3 linked regions of the Oryctolagus cuniculus genome follow. The protein of the gene in region 3 interacts with the protein of the main gene of each other region in a pairwise test. Links are inferred from orthologs where the notes say so. Each region holds a gene or a part of one and is shown on either strand. Other genes may lie near its edges.

What was found. The genes of interacting proteins can lie anywhere in the genome.
Region 1: the proteins of TLE1 (region 3) and HES6 interact in binary tests that used the Homo sapiens proteins (3 or more experiments, as listed by UniProt). The link is inferred for Oryctolagus cuniculus from reciprocal best matches to the Homo sapiens genes TLE1 and HES6.
Region 2: the proteins of TLE1 (region 3) and FOXA2 interact in a two-hybrid assay, tested with the Homo sapiens proteins (2 studies listed by BioGRID and IntAct). The link is inferred for Oryctolagus cuniculus from reciprocal best matches to the Homo sapiens genes TLE1 and FOXA2.

Annotation. Positions count from the first base shown.
Region 1 is NC_091434.1:2,165,875-2,169,158, reverse strand, and holds HES6 (transcription cofactor HES-6), read right to left. Parts: upstream 2,109-3,284; 5' UTR 1,998-2,108; coding exon 1,917-1,997; intron 1,841-1,916; coding exon 1,754-1,840; intron 1,673-1,753; coding exon 1,591-1,672; intron 1,418-1,590; coding exon 993-1,417; 3' UTR 501-992; downstream 1-500. UniProt on the Homo sapiens protein: Does not bind DNA itself but suppresses both HES1-mediated N box-dependent transcriptional repression and binding of HES1 to E box sequences.
Region 2 is NC_091442.1:46,966,096-46,970,298, forward strand, and holds the start of FOXA2 (hepatocyte nuclear factor 3-beta), read right to left. Parts: upstream 2,801-4,203; 5' UTR 2,786-2,800; coding exon 2,699-2,785; intron 1,687-2,698; coding exon 358-1,686; 3' UTR 1-357. UniProt on the Homo sapiens protein: Transcription factor that is involved in embryonic development, establishment of tissue-specific gene expression and regulation of gene expression in differentiated tissues.
Region 3 is NC_091432.1:148,610,649-148,614,148, reverse strand, and holds part of TLE1 (transducin-like enhancer protein 1), read right to left. Parts: coding exon 3,426-3,500; intron 2,831-3,425; coding exon 2,729-2,830; intron 2,392-2,728; coding exon 2,201-2,391; intron 144-2,200; coding exon 67-143; intron 1-66. UniProt on the Homo sapiens protein: Transcriptional corepressor that binds to a number of transcription factors. Inhibits NF-kappa-B-regulated gene expression. Inhibits the transcriptional activation mediated by FOXA2, and by CTNNB1 and TCF family members in Wnt signaling.

The DNA of each region.
Region 1 (3,284 bases), on a different chromosome or scaffold from region 3:
CTGGAAGCTCATCAACTGCAGAACGGTGGCGTCCCCATCCCTGTCACCCTGGAGACAAGCCCCCTGCCAGTGGAATCCTCTGGGGGCACACCATTTCCAGGAGGCGTGGCCTGGCCTGAGGACCTGCCCAGCCACAGCGGAGGCCAGCCAGCAAGCGTCCATCTCCATTGCTCATTTTGCTGACAGAAGGTGAGGATGAGAGAGAGAGAGAGAGACAGACACCGCCCTTCCATCCAGTGGTTCATTCCCCAAATGGCTGCAACGGCCAGGGCTAGGCCAGGCCAAAGACGAGAGCCTGGAAGTCCATCCTGGTTTCCCACGTGAATGCCCGGGCCCAAGGACTGGGCCATCTCCTGCTGCTCTCCCGGGGAGCTGGACCGGAAGTGGGGCACCACCAGGGCGACCCCCGGAGCCGAGGTGTTAAACGCATCAGTACTCCAGCTGCAGGACAGGATGTGCCGAGGTCACCACGCACACGTCGCAGCATTAACGACACATCATTCAGGTTTCTTCAAGGCCGTCGTACTGCGAAACTCTTTATTTAATGCGTCTGGGAACATGTGACCGCACCCTGACACAGAAACTCAAGTGTGCTACCGCAAGACGTTCAGAACGTCTCGCGTCTCTGGCACTGCTGCAGGTGCCCCTGCCCGGGACACGAGGGCTCAGCAGCACCGGCCGCCTCTGCCCTCACTCCCCGCCCAGCACCTGAGACTGCTGGCAGAGGTGCACACGGAAGAGGGTGGAGCTCTGGCTGGGTCTTCCTCCTGCCTGGAGCTCCCCCCTCCACCACCCCTGAGCACAAAGAGGCTCCCTCCAGGAACAGGGCCCGGGGCCTGGCTGGGCCGTCACCTGGTGCTGGCCAGCCAGCTACCCACTGGAGGAGGGCGGCCGACTGGGAGACCCCTCGGGCCCTGCCCCACCACGTGGGACCCCCAGGGTGGCGGGCGTGCAGCTGGGAAGGCCTGGCCCCTGGTTCCGGGCCAGCACAGTCACCAGGGCCGCCAGACGCTCTGGGCCATTCGGGCTGCAGTGAGGCCGCCCAAGGCTGCAGGCACCAAGTGCAGCCGCTCCCCAGGCGCCCGACTCAAATCAGCCTCGGAGGCCTCCTCAAGGTCGGAGCCCAGGTCGTCCCCGGGACCTGGGGGGCTGGGCAGTGGGGACCCCGGGGACGCCCCTGCGGCCCAGCCGCCCCGCCCAGGGGCTCCCGGCGGTCCCGCCAGGGCGCCCCCCAGCAGGTCTCGGAAGCTGCTGCCCTCGCGCAGGGGCATGGACTCCAGCAGGTGGTTCAGGAGCTGGGCGGCGACGGTGGCGTCAATGGCCTGGCACGTGGACACGAAGGTGTGCACCTCGTGCATACACTGGATGTAGCCGGCGGCGAAGCGCTCGCTGGCTTCCGCCCGCAGCTGCTCGCGCTCTGCGCCCGAGAGAGGGGAGGAGAGAGCCGTGCCCGGCACGGTGAGCGGCGACTCCCCTGGCCCACGGGTCCCCCCCTCCGTGGACCCCGGGGAGGGCCCTGGGCGCCGAGCGGACGGGGGAGGTCACCCCTCCCGGGGAGGGGCGGCCCGGGCCAGCGCGCCCCGCACTCACCGCGCGCCCGGCCCCGCAGCGCTCCCTGCACGCGCCGCACGGTCAGCTCCAGCACCTCGGCGTTCTCCAGCTTGGCCTGCACCTGCGCCGTCGGGGAGCGCGTGAGGCCGGCGCGCGCCCCGCAGCCCGCCCCGCAGCCCGCCCCCGCGCCCGCCGGCCGCACCTCGGCGCCCGCCAGCAGCAGCCGCAGCTCCTGCAGGCTCTCGTTGATCCGCGCGCGCCGCTTCTTCTCCACCAGGGGCTTCCGGGCCTGCGGGAAGCGGGCCCCTGAGCCCCGGCCCCGGGCGGCCTCCCCCCGCCCGCCCGCCCGCGCCTCCGGCCCGCACCTTGCGGTCCCCACGAGCCTCCCCGCTGTCTTCGTGCTCCCGGCCCGTACGGTCCCGGCCGGGGGCCAGGGACGGGGCCATGGCCGCCCCGCCACGAGTGCGGCGAGGGCTGCGGGCGGTGGGCGCCGGCTCCTCGAGGCCCCGCGGCAGCCCTCGCCGTCGCGCGTCTTCCGGCCGCCGGCCGCCCCGCCCCTTTTATAGAGGCTCATTTGCATGTCAATGCGCCGATTGGCGGAGCGGGCGCGGCGCTGCGGGCCGCGAGGCGCGCCGCAGCCAATGGGAGCGGCGCGCTTTGTGCGGTCCCGCGGCCCGGGCGGCGAGCAGCTGGCAGGGCGGGGCCCCTCGCGCAGCGCCGTCGCGACCCCCGCGGGGGCGGCCCCCAGGACCGCGGCCCCGGCCGCGCTGGTCGCTTCCTTCGCCGCGTTAGGGCGCGGGTCTGCGTGCGTGCGTGCGGGGACTCCTCCGTGGTCCGCCTGGCTCTCTCCTCCGGACCGGGAGGGGACGTCGCATCCGGCCAGGGTGCCTCTGCGCTCCGGGGAGGTGGGGCAGCCTCATCCCGACACCAGGCTCGCCCCGCAACGCCCACCCTCGGTTGGCCCCAGCATCCTGGTGGGGCGGGGTCCGCCAGCGCTGTCGCCTGCCTGTTCCTCCTCGCGCTCCCCTTGCCCCGCCACCCGCTCTGAGCGCTCCCACCCTCGGTGGTCCCCTCGCCCCCAGTTCCCCGTAGCCCTCCTTTTCCTTCGCCTCCCCCTGCTCCGACGCCTCCTTCGCTGGGCCGCACCCCCGGGCTCTCCTTCCCGGCCCCTCCCTGAGCTCCAGCCCCCCAACCCGTCATGCACCGCCCCACCTCCCCACGGTGCCCCCCGCCCCGGGCCCCCGCCCCACCTCCCTACGGTGCCCCGCGCCCCGCCGCGCCGCCGTCTGGCCCCGTAACTTGATGCCCGTGACAGTTGGCAGCTGCAGCCGCGCCAAGAGCGACAGGTGTCGGCCGCGCCTTTGTCTCCGCCCGCTTTGTGCGGCCGGCAGGCGCTTGCTCGGGGCGGCCAGACGCCCGCCACCCCCCCACCGCGGCCGCCCATCTGCCGGCCCTGCCGAGCCCAGCTCCTGCTCCACCGCCCGGCTGCCTGCGCCGCCCCGCAGAGCCGGAACGCCCCCCTTCCGCCCCCAGCCGCAGGCCTGCCACGCACCACTTGCCCTGTGCAGGGTGCTGAGCCCTCCAGGCTGCCGGTGCCAGACCACGGACCCTCTGTCCACATTCCTGCACCTGCAGAGCAGAGCCGGACCCCGCGGAGGTGCTGGGTGCTAGGGAATGGGAGGGGGTGTGTGCCCGGGGTGGGGGGCACGGCTGTGCCCAGGGCCTCTCCCAGG
Region 2 (4,203 bases), on a different chromosome or scaffold from region 3:
ACAAAAGGTCAGAACTGGCAGGTGCTTCCAAAACCAGGAGTCTACACAGCAGTGAAACCGGAGGCTTTCTTTTATCTTCTTCCTTTGTTTCTTTTCTCTTTCTTTCTTTCTTTTTCTGAATTTATATTTCTTCCTCTTTCCCTCGCTATATAGAACGACAGGTTTCAATGTGATCTTTCCAGGAGAGAAGGGCTTGCCTTGGGGGGGGGGATGTCACGGATCTCTCCACCCTTGCATCTCTCCAAGCCCCCCTGCTAAAGTCTGCACAGCCACTTCCTCCTCTTTCTCTCTCTCTCTCTCTCTCTCTGGTCTGTGTCCCAGGCTTGTCTGAGCCAGTCGGGCCTGAAGCCACCTTCTTTAAGAAGAGTTCATGATGGGCCGAGAATACACCCCCTGGTAGTAGGAGGTCTCTGCGGCGAGGGGCGAGGCGTCCAGGCCCGCTTTGTTCGTAACGGGCCCCATGGCCAAGCTGCCGGGCATGGGCGACCCGTAGCCGGGATAGTGCATCACCTGTTCATAGGCCTTGAGGTCCATTTTGTGGGACTGGTGGTGGCTGTGGTGGCTGTGGTGGTGCTGTTGCTCCGAAGACATGAGATTGTTGATGGAGAAGGGGTGGTTGAAGGCGTAGTGGTGCTCCGGCTTGAGGTGAGCCTCGGGGGGCAGGCCCGGGTGGTGGGGCGGGCCCAACAGGTGGGCCGCGGCCGCCTGCTGCTGCTGCTGCTGCCCGGGCGAGGGTGCCGGCTCCGGGGGACTCAGCGCCGCCCCGGCCGCCGACCCCTTCAGCTCCCCCAGCGCCACGCGCTTGTGCTCCTGGCACGGCGAGGCGCTCGAGTGAGGCGACTCGGTGCCCGCTGGGGTGTCCGGGGCTGGCCCGGCCACCTCCCCGAGCTGAGCCTGTGAGGCTTGCGCGCCCACCGCCGCCGCCTTCTTGCCGCCGGCCCCAGCGCCAGGGGCTCCGGCCTCCTTGAGCGCCAGCTGCTTCTCGCACTTGAAGCGCTTCTGGCGGCGCAGGTAGCAGCCGTTCTCGAACATGTTGCCCGAGTCCGGGTGCAGGGTCCAGAAAGAGCCCTTGCCGGGCTTATCCGGCGAGCGGGGCACCTTGAGGAAGCAGTCGTTGAAGGAGAGCGAGTGGCGGATGGAGTTTTGCCAGCGCTGCTGGTTCTGCCGGTAGAAGGGGAAGAGGTCCATGATCCATTGATAGATCTCGCTCAGCGTCAGCATCTTGTTGGGGCTCTGCTGGATGGCCATGGTGATGAGCGAGATGTACGAGTAGGGTGGCTTGGCGTGCGTGTAGCTGCGCCGGTAGGTCTTGGGGTCGCGCGCGCGGCTCAGGCCCGCCTGCCCATACATGGGGCTCATGGAGTTCATGTTGGCGTACGGGCCCAGGCCGCCCATGGCGCCCGCCGCCTGGCCCCCGAGCGGGCTCAGGCTGGGGCTCAGGTGCGGCCCCATGCCCGCCACGCCCGCGGCCCCGGCCGAGCCGCCCATGCCCGCCATGGCGCCCGCGCCGGGGGACATGCCCGCCAGGGACGGGCTCATGCCCGCGCCCACGTACGACGACATGTTCATAGAGCCCGCACCCATGTTGCCGGAGCCGCTGCCCATGGCGGCCGCCGACATGCTCATGTACGTGTTCATGCCGTTCATGCCCAAGCCGGCGTTCATGTTGCTCACCGAGGAGTAACCCTGCAAACAGAGCCCGCGGAGGGAGAAGGGGGCGACAGAGTTAGCACCGCGGCTGTGGGGTGCCCGCACCTCCCCGAGCCCCGCCGCCCTAGCCGGCCCGGGTCCCGCGCCTCCTCCGGGGGAGGCCTTCCCTGCTGGGGGGGTACGCCTGTATTTGGACATCGAGGCCTTTTTACCCCGAGCGAGCTCTGATCGCTTTTTGGGGAGATGCCCGGTGAGCTGTTGCTCTGGGCACGAAACTGAAGCTTCCTAGCCTGTCTGCGCCTAGCGTACGGGGATCCCCGGAGCACCCCAAAGCCGAGCACTCTGGATGCACCTCCCCTGCCCGCAGTCCCCTTCTAAACTCTCCTGCCAGCATGCTGAGCCGGCGCCCCGGCTGAGGGTCTCCGGACGACACATCCTGCCCCGGCAAGCCACCTTTGGGACACCAGGCGGAGACTGACCCAGGGTCTCCTCCATCGGGCGCTCCTCCCCGACCCCCTCCCCAGCCCCTGGGGAGCTGAAACACGAGCCAGCGCCTAGCCCGGACGCAGAGCGGGACATCGCCCCGAGGAACAGCGCAGGAGCCGCGCGCGCTGGGGACACCACAAACTCCCCGCGGCCGGGCTCGGCAGTCGCAAACTTTTCTTTCGCCTCCTTCGCCCGCTGCTCTGCCGCTGCCTCCACCTCACCCCCCAGCTCCTGCCCACCACCTTCCCCTCTTCAGCTCCCCACCCCTCCCCAGCCGCGCGCTGCCAAACAGAACTGTGTTAGGAGAGTGCGTGGCTCGGCCACGAAGAGGATTTGGAGGCGCCGCAAGTCAATATTTGATCACAAAGTTAATATTATCTCAAGGCTAACAGTGTGTCGTATAAAAAAGAGACCCATTTGAGTCGAAGGAGGGAGGTAAAGGCGGCCGCCCGGAAAGGCTGGGGTGGGGGGGCGGGAGCCCGCGAGGGGAGCGGTCCCGAGGCGGGCGCGGGGCGAGCGCCGCCCGCCGCCCCACTCTCCCCCGGGCGAGGCGAGCGCTTACCTCGGGTTCGGCGTAGTAGCTACTCCAGTCGGACGGCTCGTGCCCTTCCATCTTCACAGCTCCCAGCATACTGGAAGCCGAGTGCATGGCAGTTTAAAATTTAACAGCCACAACAAACGACCGGCGATCACCCCCCACCCCCACCCTCTTTAAAAAAAAAAAAAAAAAAGTCAGCCGAGGCACCGTCCCCTCCCTCCCTCCGCCCTCCTCGCGCTCGCTCGCTCGCTCTCGGCTCCACTCCCTCTCGCGCCGGCCGGCCGGAGGCGGTGGCTGGAAGTGGGCGGGAGGAGGGGGCGGAGGAGCGCAGGAGGCCCAGGCCGGGGCCCGGCTGTCGGGAGCGCCCGCCGCCCGCGCCCCGCTCTCGGGCTGCCGGGTGGCGGCTGATGCTGGCAGTGCCGAGCTGCCCCGAGGCGGCGGGAAGCGCGCAGCGCAGGGGTGGGTGGGGGAGGGGGGAAGAGGAGGAAGAGGAGGAGGAGGAGGAGGAGGTGCGGACCGCGGAGCGGACAAGTGCCGCAGTGACGTGGGCGGCTGGTGATATAGCGCGGCGCGCTGGCGCGGGCCTCCAATCCCCAGACCCGGGGCAGCCCATTTGAATAATCAGCTCACACCTAGGTGAGAGGGAGCCTCGGCCCGCGCGCCCCGCACCTGCCCCTCCGCGCCCCGCACTCGGAGAGAGCGAGCGTGGGGCGAGGGGGGTGTCAGGCAAGCCGGCCGGCTGGCCGGCACCCGGATCCAGCCAGCCTCCTGCCCTCCCGGCTCCGGACGGTGTCCCCCCCCCCAACCCACACACACCCCCACCTCGCGGTGGGAAGAGGGACCCGCAAAGAGGCCAACCTCGGGAGCGGCTCCGGCCCAGGACCCCCGCCCCGTCCCAGAGCGCCAGGCTCACGGCGCCTGTGTCCAGGACACGCGTCCGGCCGCCGCGCCCCGCAGAGCCGGATTCAAGCCGGATTTATTTTTCCCGGGGTTCTTCAGTGCTGAAAGCAAGCAGCGGGCAAAGCGCCGTCGTATTCAGAAAACCTGTGTACACACCTCGAACTCTGCCGCCGCTGCTCCGGGAGGCCCCTCCCGGGACCGTCACAGCCGAGCCCCGCGGTGGCTGCGGAAGGCGCACGGGGCGCGCATGGTCCGGCGGCCGCAGCCCCGGCCCGCGCCTCCTCCGGGCTCAGCCGCCAGCCGCCCACAGTGGGGACAGCCGGGCGCAGCCCCGCTGGCTGCAGCCGACGGTTGGGAGGCTATGATTTGTCTCTGACATTCAGGCCCGCGCCTTTCAAGGTTACTTTTCAGCCACTACCGAGGTGCTCGCAACGTTTCGTAACTAAAACAAACAGGGCGGCGGGGGAGGACAGACTGGAGTCCAGGAATCAAAAGTGACTTCCGGAGGGTCTCTGTCCGTCCTCCCAGCATTCCGGGGGGCTGCTCTGTAAGAAACTCCAGCAACCCAAACGCCTGGATTGTCTTCCCTGGGCACTTGGGCTCAGCCTGGTCGCCTGTCCTGCGCCAGC
Region 3 (3,500 bases):
TGCCAACCCCCACGACTGAGACACTGCCTTTGAAACCATCGACAAGTCACGCCCAGAGGTACTTACGGTTTTCCCCCGGGGATTCCCGCCAGGTTTGGAGGGATGGTGGGGACTCTCATGTGAGGGGGCGGATCAAAGCCAACCTGGAAACAAAAACAAGGCAGGTCTGACTCGGTCTGTGCAGGGCATGCATTCTGGGAACATCAATAAAGGCTTGTCATTAGAAACTCATACACCGGAAATATAAACCAGAACGGCAATGTGTCCTAGCGTTAAAAAAAAAAAAAAAAAAAAAACCACCAGAAGTAACATAAACAGCCCTAAATACTACAAGATACACATCTTCTGGGGGAGGCAAAGAAGTGTGTGATCTATGTGTGTGCTGAGAACCAGCTCCCCACGCCAGGCTGAAGATGTTTTGCTTTGCCTAAGTAAGTTCAGAGAACAATATGTGGTCTAGGGGCCAGCTCAGGCTGCGGTCAGTCAAGCTGCCAACTGAGACACCGGCATCGCACATCACAGTGCCAGCTGGAGTCCCGGCTGCTCCCTCTGGATCCAGCTCCCTGCTAACATCCTGGGAAGACAGCAGAGGATGACCCGAGTGCTTCAGTCCCTGTCACCCACATGGGAGACCCAGTTGGAATTCTAGGTTCCTGGCCTCACTCTGGCCAAGCCCCAGCCGTTTCAGCCATTTGAGGAGTGAGCCAGCAGATAGAAGATCTTTCTATCTCTCCCTCTGCCTTTCAAAAAAAAAGAAAAAAAGTCCAAGTGATTCCTCAAGTATGGCACCACAGATACTCAGGACCAGCCTGTTTTTTTCTCTCCTGAGGCTATCTTGACGTAATGAACATTGAAGAATGTCTACCAGTATCGGAGGTCTCGACCTCCTAAGTGCCAGTAGCTTCCCCTAGTTCTGATCATTAAAAATGTCTTAAATACTGGGTGCTGAAACACAGCCAGATGGAAATAGCATGTCATATTAGTCCTCAGCCTAGTGGTGTGACAGTAGTTCACAGTAATGCGTCACATACTGTACAAGAATTGGAAGACAGACAGCTGGTGAAGGAAATGGAAAGTCTAGTTGCTTGGTTTGGTTCACCCTGTGTGTTTTAAAACATTGCACTGTGACCCATTACAAAGTACAAGTATTGCATTTATCACTATCAACACCTGTTTTTTAAATACGTTTTTTAAAAGCCTCCATATGTCTCCAGGACAAACATCCTGATCTAAACCAGTGCTCAAGGACTCATACACAGATCCCCACCCTCTCCTTTTTCTTCTGGATTCCCGTTTTGTGCACCTTCCTGACAGTATGTGGGTCCTCAAGCCCATCTTACTGACTTCTCTACCCTGCAGTGCATAGTCTTTCCCATAAGTACAACACAAGGGAAAGACAATGAACTTTAATAGGATCTTAAACTATCAGTGGTAATGCTGTTTGAAGAAGCAAAAGGAGAGAATAATCTGCAACACAGTTCAAATAGTCAAGAGAAACAGGACTGTGGGTGATAACACAGTCTCTTTACCTGATGCAATCAATGGTTACACAATTTTAGTCTTCAAATGCGGTTTTGTAACTTCTTGGTCAAAAAGTGGGCCAGGTGCACTGTGGCAGAAGGAAGACAAGGGAAGGCCCACCCCTCCGGCCCCCTGTGGTTTCACAGTCTGTCTGTCTTTCCATCTGTTGTCCAGAGAGCACTTCTCAAATGTAAGCCACTTTACGGAGTTTAAAGTATAATACAATACAGGCATGAGAAGAGAAAGCTGTGGCTTCTCAAATATTTTCTCCTAAGGTTTAAAATGAGGAGAGAAAGAAAAAAAAGAGCTCAAGACAAAAAATGTAAAAGGCTTCTGTGAGCCACTTGAGTCATTTCATCGCCTTTGAATAAAAAACCAGCTTTGGTGGGAGAAAACCAGGTGTCCCTCAAACTACTGAAGGAGCTAAACACGGCTGTTTTTTCATCCACAAAAACAGAAAAACAAAAGGCGTTTGGGCCCAACTCAACGAAGCAGCATGAGATATCGGCTTGACGAGGGGACAGCCCAGATGTGAGGCTGCAACACTGGGTGGCTTTGTTCTTAAGGTGTGTGGTGCCACGGCACCTGCCCATGGAGCATGTGTGCAGCCTGGGCCTGGGCACGCTCAGGGAAGCAAACAGCTGGTCCACCCCACCCATGGCACCCCACAGCAGCCTACCATGGGGGAGCGCCCGTAGGCCACCACAGCGGCCGCGGCGGCTGCAGCACTCATCTGTGGAGACATGTTGTGTAAACTGGCGTAAGCTGCCCCGGGGCTGGTCAGCTCGCCGTTCATGCCGGCATGGGGCACCATCCCGAAGGGAGCAGGGTACGGGCCAGGCACCGCCAGGGGCGTCCTCAAACCGGCTGCTGAAAGGAAACAAAAGCCACGTGTGACTCAAGGGACCTGCTGTGGTAGATCCTGCCCTGAGATTCCAGTGTCATTTGTCAGTGCCATTCATTAGGGAAAAGGAGCAAGAGGAATGGCCTCTGAGAGGGGGAAATCACCTTCAATTTATACACTGGGTCCATTTTCCCCAGGGTCGAATTCATCTCCAGCAAAGACAAGACACCCGTGGACAGGATGCACACCCCACACATTTTCTCATTGGTGTATGTGGACCCAGTGAGGAACCAGGGGAATTAAGCAGCATTATTGCACCCAATTTACAGAGGGCAAACCAAGCCACAGGCACTAAGTGTTTACCTGACTTAATCTCAAAAGAAGATTTTCTCGATAAAATCCAAGATTTCTCCTTCAGTCCGAACTTTCCATTCCCTGGTACCAATTCCAATTGAAAACCAAATCCTGCATTTATGTAAACCAAAGCAGGGTTTAGGAGGCATATCCTGGTGCCTGTTTTCCTTTGGGCCAGCCTGTTGCTTTCTTCCTTTCCCAGTGAGGAAGATGGAGTTCAAAGTGACAGGTTTATTCATGGGCTACAAGTCTTAGCAAAGCCCTCTCTGCTTCTAAGACAGGAGAGACCCAGGAGTCTCTGCAGGATACACCAAATGCAAAAGCAGCCAGTGCCATCGGCAGGAATACACATGGGCCAGACACACTGGCTGTTGTAGTTACTATCAGCAAAGTGAGACATTTAATGAGAGCTTGGTAAGGAGCTTCTGTTCGGAATAATTATCAGAAACGTTACTGATGTCTCTCCAATTTGGACTTCTTGGAAGACAAAGGAAATCTGAGAGCAAACCACCAGAGACCAACCAGGGTGCCTCTGCACAAGACCAAGGACGAGCATTTCTTACCATTTTCAGACATGGGAATGAAGGTGGCCCTAAGTGCCTTTTCTATTTGTGGGGACACGGCCTCCAGAGATTAACAGACAACAACGAAACCAAGCCAGGAGAGGGAGAAACTAAACCCAGCATAAGAAGAGGCAACGCTCTACCCGCTTGGTTGACAAGGGGCTCCATGGCTGGAGGCTTGCCAAGGCCTGGACGGAGTCCTGGAGTGGCACTGGTGC